Arabidopsis thaliana: one gene and its partners. The protein of the gene in region 1 interacts with the protein of each later gene in a biochemical or structural test. Each region holds a gene or a part of one and is shown on either strand. Other genes may lie near its edges.

Evidence for each region.
Region 2: the proteins of FT (region 1) and FTIP1 form a complex in vitro, tested with the Arabidopsis thaliana proteins (one study listed by BioGRID).
Region 3: the proteins of FT (region 1) and BRC1 form a complex in vitro, tested with the Arabidopsis thaliana proteins (one study listed by BioGRID).

The regions. Positions count from the first base shown.
Region 1 is NC_003070.9:24,329,746-24,334,510, reverse strand, and holds FT (PEBP (phosphatidylethanolamine-binding protein) family protein), read right to left. Parts: upstream 3,139-4,765; 5' UTR 3,134-3,138; coding exon 2,801-3,133; intron 1,986-2,800; coding exon 1,924-1,985; intron 1,211-1,923; coding exon 1,170-1,210; intron 1,046-1,169; coding exon 822-1,045; 3' UTR 512-821; downstream 1-511. UniProt on the Arabidopsis thaliana protein: Component of the mobile flower-promoting signal (floral stimulus or florigen). Promotes the transition from vegetative growth to flowering. Required for 'SEPALLATA3' (SEP3) and 'FRUITFULL' (FUL) accumulation in mature rosette leaves.
Region 2 is NC_003076.8:2,126,410-2,132,323, reverse strand, and holds FTIP1 (C2 calcium/lipid-binding plant phosphoribosyltransferase family protein), read left to right. Parts: upstream 1-1,814; 5' UTR 1,815-2,175; intron 2,176-2,390; 5' UTR 2,391-2,504; intron 2,505-2,677; 5' UTR 2,678-2,739; coding exon 2,740-5,124; 3' UTR 5,125-5,380; downstream 5,381-5,914. UniProt on the Arabidopsis thaliana protein: Involved in the export of FT from the phloem companion cells to the sieve elements through the plasmodesmata. Regulates flowering time under long days. May function as a signaling molecule by regulating the trafficking of other regulators.
Region 3 is NC_003074.8:6,381,677-6,386,349, forward strand, and holds BRC1 (TCP family transcription factor), read left to right. Parts: upstream 1-1,612; 5' UTR 1,613-1,750; intron 1,751-1,831; exon of another isoform or gene 1,832-1,860; 5' UTR 1,861-2,092; coding exon 2,093-2,765; intron 2,766-2,869; coding exon 2,870-2,965; intron 2,966-3,058; coding exon 3,059-3,594; 3' UTR 3,595-3,847; coding exon of another isoform or gene 3,848-3,928; 3' UTR 3,929-4,139; downstream 4,140-4,673. UniProt on the Arabidopsis thaliana protein: Transcription factor that prevents axillary bud outgrowth and delays early axillary bud development. Indirectly required for the auxin-induced control of apical dominance.

The DNA.
Region 1 (4,765 bases):
AAAGTGTTTTATTTTTAGTTTTAAACTCAAATTTAATTTTAAAATAGAAAATACATTAAATCGAAACTTATACTATTTTAGGCGTTGAATCAGTGATCTAACCATAACTTGACAGCATAACGTCTAGACGGAGCCAATACAACCGCCTAAACCGCTTTTAAATAAAACATAAATGCTTAAGTTGTTCCTCGTATTTATCCCAAATTAAAAAAAAAACGTTTTTCTATCATGGGAACAAGATCTAACGTCGAAGTCCATTAGTAATTAATCTTCAGAATGTATAAATACTTCATATGTTTACCTTTCAAGGATTTAATAATTAAGGTTTGATCCTAGGATTCGATCTTACACATGTGTTTCTTCATACGTGAGCCCATAAACTTAAAACCAAAATATTGCTCTACTTTTCTAGCTTATGTATTGAATGCAAACTCTTTAGTTTGATATATAATGATCGACTTGGATATTATCAGTACTTTAGTAGCAACACAAAAAAGTGTATTATGGAACCCAAAAGTAAAACAGCAGATTCTTCCCACTGCCTGATTTTTGCATCGAAAAGAAATGAATACACGTAAAGTATAAATATAACACTTCATTTCATGTAGATTAATATAATTATCGCATCACACACTATATAAGTAAAACACTCTCATTTTCCTCCCCCTCTCATTTTTATTACACACTTATATATTGAACTACTATAGGCATCATCACCGTTCGTTACTCGTATCATAAAATGGTTATTAAATTAAAATACTATAGATGCATAAATCTCATCAGAGTATGCAATATCAATTGGTTATAAAGGAAGAAGCCATCTAAAGTCTTCTTCCTCCGCAGCCACTCTCCCTCTGACAATTGTAGAAAACTGCGGCCACGGGAAGGCCGAGATTGTAGATCTCAGCAAACTCGCGAGTGTTGAAGTTCTGGCGCCACCCTGGTGCATACACTGTTTGCCTGCCAAGCTGTCGAAACAATATAAACACGACACGATGAATTCCTGCAGTGGGACTTGGATTTTCGTAACACACAATCTCATTGCCTGAAAAATAAAAAGTTCATCAAAACATGTGAATTTTCTAGCTAGTAACTAATTAATTAGGCTATTTCATATACCTTTCTATATTTCTAACACCTAGCGATCTAATATATAGAATAAAACTCACCAAAGGTTGTTCCAGTTGTAGCAGGGATATCAGTCACCAACCTGTAATGAGAGATAGCCATACACATGTTTAAGCTATGGCACCACAACATAATTGAAATGCTACTTCTTTTTTTGACAGAATTGAAATGCTACTTAAACTTTATTTTCTTACAAAAAAATAATAGCAACGTAACTAATTCCTAGATTACTAGTGCAAGTGACTAGCAAAACATGCAATAACATTCAAGTGCATGAATATATAAATAAAAATAAAAAGTGATATAACAGGAAACCTAGTCCTGCTCACTTCAAGGAACAATGATGATGTCATCAGGCTATTTTAAGCTCAATGATATTCCCGTACAAAGACCACTTTAAAGTGAAAAAAACAAATCTTAGTTCAAGTCACGTCCTATACATTCTATAGAATCTATGTGCGATCAGTAAAATACACAGACATACATAATACATATTTACATTACACATAGTAAAGTTTTTGAACAAAATATGTCAATTTAGCTTGGGTGTGGGCTTTTTTGGGAGACAAATTGATGCATCGCACTCTCGAAGTTGATTTTATATGTCTCCTTCTATTAAATGTAAAATGTTTGAGTCTTAAGTTATAAGTGATCTACTCAATTTCAAAGTATCCAAAATACATGTCCAGTTTTACATGTGTAGTTGAGTGTCTATATATATAATTCGAGCAACATGTTTGAGCTATGCTATAACTTAAAAGTGAATTAATTAAAGAGTTGAGTTAGTGCACAAACCAATGGAGATATTCTCGGAGGTGAGGGTTGCTAGGACTTGGAACATCTGGATCCACCATAACCTTCATTAAACAAATAAGACGAAGAATTATAAGAAGATAAGATTATCATTTTCAAAGAAATCAAGAAAGCAAAAGGTCTTTTTTTCTTTTTCTTTTTTGAAGTTTGGAAAATGAGATAACACAAGAAAGAAGAAGAAAACTATGAATAGAAAAAAGGTAGTAGCTACATGTCTATATATAGCAGAGAGTATCTTAAAGGCTGGCTTGAATATCAGAATATCCTTATTCAAACAGTTTTCAAATATTCCACAACAGAGATTCATCAATATATATATTTGTTTTAATGAACATCAATTTTCTATATCTTTTTGCAGATATTTTAATTAGCAAAAAGGATATTTCAAAAATGCCATTTTCAAAGTATAGTAAAAAATTATACTTAAAAAAAAACAAAAAAAAACAAATGCAAATTAAATTATTAGGTAGGAGGAACAAAGAAAAATCCCAAGATTCTTATCCTAAATAATAATCACTTATGCAAGAAGTTGGTGGAAAAAATTTGGGATAGATCATAAATTTATCTCTATTTAATTTAGGATAGGAAGAAATATTTTATGGGTCCATCTTCATGAAAAAAGAAATGAAATATAAATTAGTTTTTGATTTGGGTATCATAAAGTAAAACCAAATAAATCATAAAAAAACAGAGAAAAGGAAAGCGTGGGGCATTTTTAACCAAGGTCTCTGCATGCCCAAGAAATATTTTCAGTATACCCCAAAAAAGGAAAATAATTTCTATTTTAAAAAAGAAGGTGTAAGAAGCACTGAAGAAACTAAAGAAGAAAAGAGACAAAAGGGAGTTCAAGTGAAAGAACCAAAGTATAGAAGTTCCTGAGGTCTTCTCCACCAATCTCAACTCTTGGCTTGTTTTGAACCTGAGAAGGCCTTAGATCCAAGCCATTAGTCACCTCTCTTTGGCCATAAGTAACCTTTAGAGTGATTGATCTATTAAACGGATCAAGAACGTCTCCAACAACTCTGCTTACTATAAGAGGGTCTCTTATATTTATAGACATCTTTGATCTTGAACAAACAGGTGGTTTCTCTGTGTTGATTGTTTCTGTTTTACTTGTTTTTGTTTCTGCTTCTTTAATTTGTATCATAGGCATGAACCCTCTACACATATTTATACTGTTTCGGATTTGCATTAACTCGGGTCGGTGAAATCATAACCACAATCTTTTTCTTGTCTATTGATGTACTAGAATCTAAAACTGATTCTACGTACATCACACATTGTCGTCTTATTTCATATTTTTCTTTCTTTTTATTTCTGTTTGTGGTATTCCAAACCCACCACACTAATACACTGGAAATATTCCAAATTATATCTCCCACTTGGTAGCCACTAATTTTTGATTTATTTCCTTTAACAAGATACCTCTCTCGACTAAATATTATTTACTTTTATACAAAGATATTAATTATGATAATGAGTAATCAGTAGTTTCATATATATTTAGTTTTGCCATATATTAACATAATTTATCATAACAAAGTAAGATTATTAATAAAAATAAGAAAAAAGTAGGGTACCGCCAAGTTTATAGAGAAAAAAAAATTACAGTATCACTTGTTATGTTTTTAAAACTATTATTTAGAGATATAAAGAAAAAAAAAATTCTTAAAAAATTCGAAAGCGAAAACGTTCTAAAAGAAAAAAACTAAAAAAAAAGTTGAGATAGAAATCATAGAAGAAATGATATATTTTATAAAACAGCCTTTTCTTGTAGTTATACCAGGTAGAACAAGGGATCCTTCAGGTTAGATAGAACCAGGACATTTGAGAATAGTCACCTATTTTTCTAGCCGCTTGTGTTATATGGTCGACAAACAAATCTCAAACATGTAGAATGAAGGCAGTTATTTTCATCGTCCATACCTACCAATGTCCGAACTCAAATACGCAAAATTATCTCAAAATGAATTAAGTACAAGATATCTGCAATTAAATAATATAAACCAAATCAATTGTTTTATTTCTCTTCTTTTTTTATAAACAAGCGGCCATATTATGGAAAAGTGAGTTTTATAATTGAGATAGTATCTAGTGTCTTGAAACAATTATATCATACGGTAATCTATCTATACATATAATATTAACTATTAAAAATCTAAAGCAAAATAATGATTACTTTTTAAAATTAGACATTAGTTTGGTTGTAAAAATACTAACCATCCATTTGCACGACCAGGATAATTGGTATATATACTTATGCGTCTATAAATAGGTATGGATTTGCTAATTTGAGAGATTTTCTTTTTGACATTGCATCAACATATATAGATGTAACTACCATTACCACTAATTAGAGCATTTCTTAAGTTCAAAGATGAAACTTATAACCATAGCCTAACAACTGTAGGAATTATTCTTTCTTTTTCTTTTAATTGGTAATTAAATAATTAGCGATAGGTTCTACTGTCCAAACTGGAAAATAAAGGAATTATTCAGTGATGTAGTTTTTTGTAACATCTCAGTAATGTATTCATATTGAACTTTATCTTATCATTTCAGACTTCAGCCACTGTTCTACACGTCCATAGGTTAACTTCATCTTAGGTTGAAATCCAAAATATTTGGTAACCTTCATAGAAATTTCAGATTTGTTTACTAAAAAAGACGTCTACGATCGACCATTGATAATCGAAATCGCAATTAAAAAAAACTCGAAATCTGCTATATGCACTTTTTAACGACTAGCATTTATTTTCTACTAATTTTAGTTACACACAAAAAAATGTATGCATTTTTAAATATTGGACAGGAGAGCTCAGTA
Region 2 (5,914 bases), on another chromosome or scaffold:
CTATATAGTGAGTGATATAGACTTAGAGAGACGGATTCGATTTGATCTCTGTTTCCACATGGACCGTAATAATAGTCAATACATATCATATAGTCAAGATGTCGGCGTTGAATATGTTTGGGTAATGCAATTACGCGTTGTATATAATTAGGCTATAACCGGTGCAAGTTATATCTCCTTGAAGCATTTGGAAATGTATACTGAGGCAATGTCTTCACCATCTAATACAACTTCTCAAAAGTTCATCCAAATTTAAGTAACCCAATTGATCTATCCAACAAACATAAGATTTGAGAGAAAGTTTAGATTTTGGTTCATATTTATAAGAAAATATCGAACAAAGTTTATGGTCATCTTCAAATCGATCCGACCGTTGGAAGAGATTTATCACAAACGGCTCTATTGAGATAAGTGATTTCTGTTTTTCTATGAACAAATAAATAAAATAAGTTACCGAAGAAGAGCCAAAGTGTGGGCTTAATTCATCTTTCAGATCTCAATGAACGTGAATGAGGCCCAATTAGTTTATAATGGGCACTATGAAAGCCACTAGACAAGTCTTATGTTCACAAATGATGATCAACTGTATCTGATCCACAATGTAAAATGTCTAATGTTCACGCCAAGTCTAAATGCTTTGGTTTCGTTAGACATTAATAAATCGTAATTGTGAACCAAACTAAACCGAGAAAAATGGATATTATGTGACAAGTCTATCAAGATGATGCATAAAAGAACATAATAATATAGTCATCATTACTAAGCATCACTGAGGCAGCAAAAGCGGACCACTAAAGTTGGATCCTTTACAACTTGATAAGTTGGTTCATAAAAATTCAAATTAGCCTTCATAAAAGTTTTAAAAAGAAAAAGCATTCCAGTTTATTCATAGTTTACATATAACATAGATGTAAAAAATGTTAGAACCATCTTATAACTTTTTTGATAAAGAAACAATACAAGAACTTATTCCACACCTTTTTATTCTTTCTTTTGGGAGGTTTTGAATTTCAGGCAACTTAAATTCATCTACGTTGGTAAAAACAATTCTTTATCCTCAGAAATGTTTATTGGAAATTGTGTAGAACTCATCTATAACTTGTCTAAAATATTAAACACATGATTTTGAAGAAGATTGACTACATCCTCATGAGAGCTCATTTGCTATGGTTGAAACCTGGACACATTTTAACAAATGCAAGTGGAGTGAAGAACCGGTTCTTGTTTGATACTATACAAAGGGAAATGTCGATCTAACTGAAGTTAGTTTCATCTCTGCTGTTAGGGTCGATTTAGTCTCGGTTCACTGATTCTTTTTACCAAATAGTTTAATAAGCTCCAGTGCGGGCATTAGAAATAAAAATGGCGAGATAATAAGGTAATGATGTTACTCAATCAAATAATAATAATCACTCCTTAGCCTAGCCTGCCCTTTTGCTTTTTATGAAAAAGTTTCAAACTCCAAAAAGCTATTTTTTAGATGCTTATTCCAATGAGGCAGAAAGAAAGAAACACTAAAGATATATATACTCACAGGGGAAAGTTGGTGTTGGAAATGTTTCTAATTATCACTTTGGCACTAAGTATATTATCTGTGAGTTCTTGTAAATTTATGTTTACATGTTTTATTTTATATATTGATGCGAAACTATTTTTGTGAAAAGTTTTGATTAAAGCATGAGAAAGTTTCACTTGATGTTGGGTTTGAGTGTTTTATCCGGGTTTATTCATCCTTGAAATCAGTCATGCAATTTGGCAAATATGTGGTGTAATTTTTTACAAGTGTGAGAGAATCTACTATTTCTACCTTTGTCACTGCTGAAAAATTTCTTAATGTACCTAAAAGTCTTAAGACAAACGAAGAATCTGCTTTCCTATTTAATAAAACGAAGATAACAAAAAAAAAGAATCAGCTTCCCTCTTAAAGAAGGAGAAAAACAGAGAGAATAAGAAGTAATTTTTTAGGGTTCTTCCTTTTTCATTTTGATTCTTCTTTTTCTTTGAGATAGAATTGTTTCTCTTTCGTTCTCTCTCTGTGTATCAAACAAAAATTTGATTATGGAATAACTCTTAACTTCTTGGTTTCTTAAATTCTTCTTTCTTTCTTTTTTTCATTTCTATGGTACAGCAGCAAACAGAGAATTTTATGGCAGCTTCTTCAACATCTTTCTCAAGGTACTGCTTACTAAGTTAAACGCATCCTTCTTTACATATATACATGTTCTTGAAATATTGTTGGTCCATATAAAAATAGCTCTCTTTTTTTGTAAGTTCGAATACTATAGATTTATCTCTTTCATTGATTTTGTTTGCTATCTTCTTTTTCTCTTCATTTACTCTCTATTTATCGTTTTCATATTAATCCTTCTCTTACTTTTCATTTGCAAAAGATAATTCAAGACATTCTGTGTTTTCCTGCAAACACTTGAATGAGTTCATGGAACAGAACCAAGAGACAAAGCTTATATTTGCGTCGACCACTTAGTATATATTGTTTAAATCAGGTAAGAATCCTTTCAATTATCTTGGTTGAGATTGAAAGTAAATTACTAAATACTAATTATAAAGGTTTTAAATCAGTTCTGATGAGATACATTAGTTTCTTTACATCCAAGAAACAGGTTTTGTCTAATCATTTTTTCCTGCAATTCTCAGATTCTGTTTTTTTGTATGTCAGGAACAGAATTGAAACGTTTTGAAAGAAACAGGAGAATCTTTTGGTTCAAGTAATCTAAAACCATGGCAGCCAAAGATGGAGCTAAGAGCCAAGAAGACTATAAGCTTAAAGACATGAAACCAGAGCTTGGAGAGAGATGGCCACATGGAGGACAGCGTGGAGGAACCGGATGGATTGGCAGTGAACGAGCTGCAAGCACATATGACCTTGTTGAGCAAATGTTTTATCTCTATGTTCGGGTCGTCAAAGCCAAGGATCTTCCTCCAAACCCTGTCACCAGCAACTGTGATCCTTATGTGGAAGTGAAAATAGGAAACTACAAAGGAAAGACTAAACACTTCGAGAAAAGAACCAACCCGGAGTGGAATCAAGTTTTCGCATTTTCAAAAGACAAGGTCCAATCCTCTACTGTTGAAGTCTTTGTGCGCGATAAGGAGATGGTTACAAGAGATGAATACATCGGGAAGGTTGTGTTTGATATGCGTGAGGTTCCTACAAGAGTTCCTCCTGATAGTCCACTTGCACCTCAGTGGTACAGATTAGAAGATCGGCGAGGTGAGAGTAAGAAAAGAGGAGAGGTTATGGTAGCGGTTTGGCTTGGGACGCAAGCCGATGAAGCATTTCCTGATGCTTGGCATTCGGATGCTTCCTCTGTTCAAGGAGAAGGTGTCCAAAGCGTGAGGTCTAAAGTCTATGTATCTCCCAAATTGTGGTATCTGCGGGTTAATGTCATCGAGGCGCAAGATGTTGAGCCTAGTGACAGGAGCCAACCACCTCAAGCTTTCGTTAAAGTACAAGTTGGGAATCAGATTCTGAAAACAAAGTTATGTCCTAACAAGACGACGAATCCGATGTGGAACGAAGATCTTGTTTTTGTAGCTGCAGAGCCATTTGAAGAACAGTTCTTCTTGACGGTCGAAAACAAGGTGACACCAGCTAAAGATGAAGTCATGGGGAGGCTGATCTCACCTTTGAGCGTATTTGAGAAAAGGTTAGATCACAGAGCTGTTCATTCCAAATGGTACAACCTCGAAAAGTTTGGGTTTGGGGCTCTGGAAGGAGACAAGAGACACGAGCTCAAGTTCTCCAGCCGAATCCACCTACGAGTTTGCCTTGAAGGAGGTTACCATGTAATGGACGAGTCAACTCTGTACATCAGTGACGTGAAACCTACGGCAAGGCAACTATGGAAGTCTCCTATTGGCATCCTTGAAGTAGGAATCTTGAGTGCTCAAGGGCTATCGCCTATGAAAACAAAAGACGGTAAAGCGACAACAGATCCGTATTGTGTTGCCAAGTACGGTCAAAAATGGGTGAGAACAAGAACCATCATTGACAGCTCTAGCCCTAAATGGAATGAGCAATACACATGGGAAGTGTATGATCCTTGTACAGTTATCACACTGGGAGTTTTCGATAACTGTCACCTTGGCGGAAGTGAGAAATCGAACAGTGGAGCCAAAGTGGATTCGAGAATCGGGAAGGTAAGGATCCGGTTGTCGACTCTAGAGGCTGATAGAATCTACACTCACTCCTACCCTCTTCTTGTTCTGCAAACAAAAGGGTTAAAGAAAATGGGAGAAGTCCAATTAGCTGTGAGATTCACTTGTCTATCCTTGGCTCACATGATCTATCTTTATGGCCATCCTCTGCTTCCAAAGATGCATTATCTCCATCCATTCACTGTGAACCAATTAGACAGTCTAAGATACCAAGCAATGAGCATTGTCGCAGCACGGTTATCTCGAGCAGAGCCTCCTTTAAGGAAAGAGAACGTAGAGTACATGCTTGATGTTGATTCACACATGTGGAGCATGAGAAGGAGCAAAGCTAACTTCTTCAGGATAGTGTCTGTGTTTGCAGGCTTGATTGCTATGAGTAAATGGCTCGGAGACGTCTGCTACTGGAAGAATCCGTTGACGACGATATTATTCCACGTTCTCTTCTTTATATTGATTTGTTATCCGGAGCTGATACTCCCAACCACATTCCTCTACATGTTCTTGATAGGGCTTTGGAATTTCCGGTTCAGGCCGCGTCATCCTGCTCATATGGACACAAAGGTATCTTGGGCTGAAGCGGCTAGCCCTGATGAGCTAGATGAGGAATTTGATACTTTCCCAACTTCAAAGGGACAAGATGTTGTGAAGATGAGGTATGATAGGTTAAGAAGCGTTGCGGGTCGGATCCAGATGGTTGTTGGAGACATTGCAACGCAAGGAGAGAGGTTTCAGGCTTTGTTGAGTTGGAGAGATCCGCGTGCGACTTGCTTGTTTGTGATTTTTTGTCTTGTTGCTGCGATGATTTTGTACGTGACGCCTTTCAAGATCATAGCTCTTGCGGGTGGGATGTTCTGGATGAGGCATCCTAAGTTCAGAAGCAAGATGCCTTCTGCTCCAAGTAACTTCTTCAGGAAATTACCTTCAAAAGCAGATTGTATGCTTTGAATTGTAAAACTTCTTTGTGGCTTTTAGGTCTTCTCTGCTCGTAACTTGTGTTTCTTGTGTTCGTGTGTTTATCTGCTCTGTTTTATTATTTTGTTCTGTTTGCTTCTATTCTTATCATGTACTGTGTTGTTGGGTTTACTCTAAAACCCAAAAGTAGTGGGCTTTAGTTATAATGTTTTGTTTGTACGTTTTTTCCTTCTCTTAAAAAGAAATAAAATTCAATAGAAAACTTTAGGGCCCAAAAATTTACGGCCCAAACGAATTTGTAGTCCAAGAATAAACACATGTATAATCTGATTGCTAGTGTATGTACTTAGAAACTATTTTTTTTCAAATATTTGCGGCTAAATCAATCTCGTTTTTTGTGATGTAAAAAGATTTTTGTTGTTTTGATTTGACCATGCATGTGTACTACTGTAATGTTCACTTTTATCAGTCAAGAAATAAAAATAGAAGAGTTGAAAAAAATTAACTGGTGACAGCAAAGAAATGAAAAGTAAAGGAGAGAGAGAAGGGCGTTGAACCCAAAGCAAAACGGTACTGATCCCAAGTCCCTGACGGTATCCTACAGAACTCACCATTTGTCACCTTCCTCACTGGTCAATGCTTTAATTTGACCTAACAAGTGATAAGTCTTGCATGCAACTGCAATTGTTGCCAGCCTTCTATTTTTGTTTCCTTTCAATACTCTCTCATGTTCTTGTGTTTGGAATTGAAGATCAAGTATAATTTTTCACTTGAATTTGCATAAGGAAGAATTCATTAAAAGGTATGGAATACTTGTCTATAT
Region 3 (4,673 bases), on another chromosome or scaffold:
AACTCAATTGGATTCCAATAAGTCTACGTAAGAAAAAGGAGCTACCCTTTTTTACTAATAATTTACAGAAGAGGATGTTGCATAACAATCAATTTAGAACAATCATCTATGTCTATACTTAATTTTGAGAAACATCCATGATGGATATAAATTGTTATAACAGTGTTTAAATTTATTTGATATTCTCAATAATATATATATATATATATATATTATAATATAAGAATTCATATTTTATACTTTAAAATACAATTAATAATATTTTACAACAATAAATAAATGTATTTAAACCTAAAAGTTGGCACAAGAAAATGGAATTAAAAAATATTACTGATCTGTATGGTTTTCTTGAGGGATCGCCATGATTGATGATTCAGTTTTTACAACCCATTCAGTTCGATAGATTATCTAATATAAGATTTTTTTGTCAAATATTTTTTTTGATCTAGTATAAGTTTTTTATTTATGAAACAACAAATAAAAGATTTGGACTTAAGAATGGATAGAAGTTTTGGAATAACAATATTTGTGTCCTATGTATAAAAATTATTAGATAGAGATACAAAAATTGTTATCTGAACAAATGCAATATATCAATAGTTAGTGTACATATGAAGTCATAAGAATTACACCAAAATACTCTTTAAAAATATGAAAAAGTTGTTTATAGTGTTTTGAAAAATACCACCAAACAAAACTTTATAATTTTATTTGACCTTAGTTCTTTCTTACGGTGAAATGCAAATCAATATTTTATATATATTTTAATTATATATTCCTTGTTCCTATTTCCTTTAGACATAATCTAAAATCTTCTAACTTTTCTTCTATTAATCCTTTTCCAAATAAAGGCATAACTAATAATAAAATTTATCCTTAATTTTATCTCATATTTATTTCTATTCAACTTTTTATTTTGATCTTCTTAATATGCAAACATACATTTATATGTCTATTTTTGGGTGAAATTAAATCTCATTACCTTTTATTTCTTTCATTTAGTTATACCTTGATCTTTATCTACTAAAAATATTAAAAAATATAATCAATGTGGAAAAATCTATCTAACTAAATTTTAAATGTCATTTCAATAATTTAAATAAAGATCTGTTTATTTAAAGTGAAATGTTAATGTAATTGGTAAATATATGTTCTGTCAAGAAACTGTAATATTAATTATTCTAGCTAAATCCTAAAGTTATAACATATATTCTATAGTAAATACAGTGAAATATTTTATATTGAATTAACTATTTTTAGGCATCTTTTAGTGCATGCTATTAATTTTAAAGATATATACAATCTTTGATTAGTTGAAATATAGCTGTCAACAATTTAATATCTATCAAATAATTATACTGAGTTCTTATCTACATATTAGTAATGAACTATCTCAAAGAAATATAAGAACATAAACAAACACAAGGTCCTAATTATAGAAAAAAATCTTGATAATCAAATAAAACGAACATCTATTATCACATTTTCACAAAAAACAAAAACGAATATATTTTTATCATGCCGAAGCTAGGAATTAAGAAAAATATATAAACAAAATAAATGCTTTTTCAAAGGCTTATATGTTGTTCCTTCCCCCATAATGATCTCTTTGCCTCTCTCTCCATATAGCTCTCCCTCTCTCTCTCTTTTTCTCTCTCTTTCTCTCCATTCTAGTTCATAGCACATAGACTCATTTAAGTACGTCGCCTGTGTTGTCTTTCTCAACCATTAGTCCTTTGCTTCGATAAAGGTATTCTCTCTCTACACATTTAGACACACACATAGATTCTCTAGAACAAAGACATATTGTACTATCTGACTAATCACTATTACTGCTCTTTTTTTTTCTTGATTTTGCAGGCTAAGGAAAAAAAGAAATCTCTCTTTCTAATTTTCTTGTTTTCATTTTGGTTGAGACTTGAGATCAATGTCTTCGTCATTGGAACAGTAACCTTTCTCTTTGATTCAAACTTTCTTTCATTTTCTTCTCTTTTTTCTTGTGTGTCTGAAGAAGATTATAGTACAAGTGTCATTCTCAAAATTTTGTCTTAGGGTTTTTTAATTTTGTTACTTCAAAAACCCCTAAAAAGGCATGAACAACAACATTTTCAGTACTACTACCACCATCAATGACGACTACATGTTATTCCCTTATAATGACCATTATTCCTCACAACCATTGCTCCCTTTTAGCCCTTCTTCTTCCATTAACGACATCTTGATTCACTCCACCTCTAACACATCAAACAATCATCTTGACCATCATCATCAATTCCAACAACCTTCTCCTTTTTCTCACTTCGAATTTGCCCCGGACTGCGCCCTCCTCACCTCTTTCCACCCAGAAAACAATGGCCATGATGATAACCAAACCATCCCAAACGACAATCATCATCCATCACTTCACTTTCCCTTGAACAACACCATTGTAGAACAACCCACTGAGCCCTCGGAAACTATAAACCTTATAGAAGATTCCCAGAGAATCTCAACTTCTCAAGACCCAAAAATGAAAAAAGCCAAGAAACCCAGCAGAACGGACAGGCACAGCAAGATCAAAACGGCCAAAGGGACACGAGATCGTAGGATGAGACTCTCGCTAGATGTCGCCAAAGAGTTGTTTGGCTTACAAGACATGCTTGGATTTGACAAAGCCAGCAAAACCGTTGAATGGTTGCTTACACAAGCAAAACCTGAGATCATAAAGATCGCGACAACCCTTTCTCACCATGGCTGCTTCAGCAGCGGCGATGAGTCTCATATCCGTAAGTATCCATTCTTTTCTAGTTTTAAGTCTATTCAAGTTTTCAACTTCTATGAATTTTTTTATATCATAATCTGAAAATTGTAAATTTCCTAATTAATTAAGGACCGGTGTTAGGATCCATGGACACATCTTCTGATCTATGTGAACTTGCATCCATGTGGACGGTCGACGATAGAGGCAGCAATACTAACACGACCGGTACGACCTTAACCGTTGCCTTTCTGATTTACAATTATATATAGAGTACTTTCTATCAAAATGTTACAAAAGATAAATTATCTTATACATTAGAAACAAGAGGAAACAAGGTCGATGGGAGATCGATGAGAGGGAAGAGAAAGAGGCCAGAACCGCGAACGCCCATTTTAAAGAAGTTGTCCAAGGAGGAGAGAGCGAAAGCTAGAGAAAGAGCAAAGGGTAGAACAATGGAGAAAATGATGATGAAGATGAAAGGAAGATCACAATTAGTGAAAGTTGTGGAAGAAGACGCTCATGATCATGGTGAGATAATAAAGAATAATAATAGAAGCCAAGTGAATCGGAGTTCTTTTGAGATGACACACTGCGAAGACAAGATCGAAGAACTTTGCAAGAACGATCGTTTTGCAGTTTGCAACGAATTTATCATGAATAAGAAAGATCACATTTCAAATGAATCTTATGACTTAGTCAACTACAAACCGAACTCATCATTCCCAGTGATTAACCACCATCGCAGCCAAGGAGCAGCTAATTCCATTGAGGTACCTTATTTATATCTACGAGTCACATTTATAATTTTTATGAGTTTTTTTCCAATGGTTTTATCTAAAGCTATACACAGTTAATTCAAGTTTTAGAGGTAGGGTATATCAAATTCAATGACACTAATGCACCACCATCGATTAATTAATGCTATATATAGTTTAATTAGAAGTTAGTTTTTGTGTTTTGTGGATTGGTACTTGGTTATTACTATCTAGTTCCACATCAGCGATTCAAAGGCGCCGGTTTTTTTTAACTGACTTGGTTATACTATTATGGTTTTTATTGTTCAAATTTTCATCGATTTTTTTTTTTTTGGGGCTATGTACCTTGCAGCAGCATCAGTTTACGGATCTTCATTACTCCTTCGGCGCGAAACCAAGAGACCTCATGCACAACTATCAAAACATGTATTGAAACTGATTTCATTTAACATTAATATCTCAAATTAATGATATATAGTTTGGTGAGAGAGATATGTTAATCCATCTTATGTTTTTTTTTCTTAACATCGTAATTAATCATGTTTATATGAAGGCTTTTTCGTCATTTTAGTGTCAAATATTAAACCTATGTGAAGAAATTAATGCAATTTGTATAATATTTTGTTTTCATAGTTCGAGTGGATTTTTAACTGATATGTATCCTTTAAACGTTGTTTGTTAATATTATCTCTGTGTTGTTAAGTTTGTCTATCGTTTGCTTTTAGGAATACAACAAATGACAAAAACAAAAGGAAACGTGACAAACTGATGACAAAATTATATAAGTTAAGATTCATGATTCAATACATTCTCAATCTATATTCCTTCTGAGACCTGGACGTCAGTTCTAGTAATCAGGCAATTCAAAACCTTTCAAGCCTATTAAGTTAAATGCGATCGACAAACGTATCGGGTATCACTAGGCTTGTGATCTATGTATAAGTGGGTTAACGTACATTGTATACAGACAAGTTCATATATGCGTAATTTGTGTAATATATTACGTGGAAACTTTATCATTTTCAAATATATTTTTTATAACTGATGTGAAGCTATTTGCTTTTTCCCTTAACCAATGATAAGTTCTGCTCTAATAAATCGAAATGTCTTGGGAGTAGTAAGTTACTTCTCTATTGTGATAAGTTTGAGTTACTTAATTTGGAGAGTTTGGTTTACTC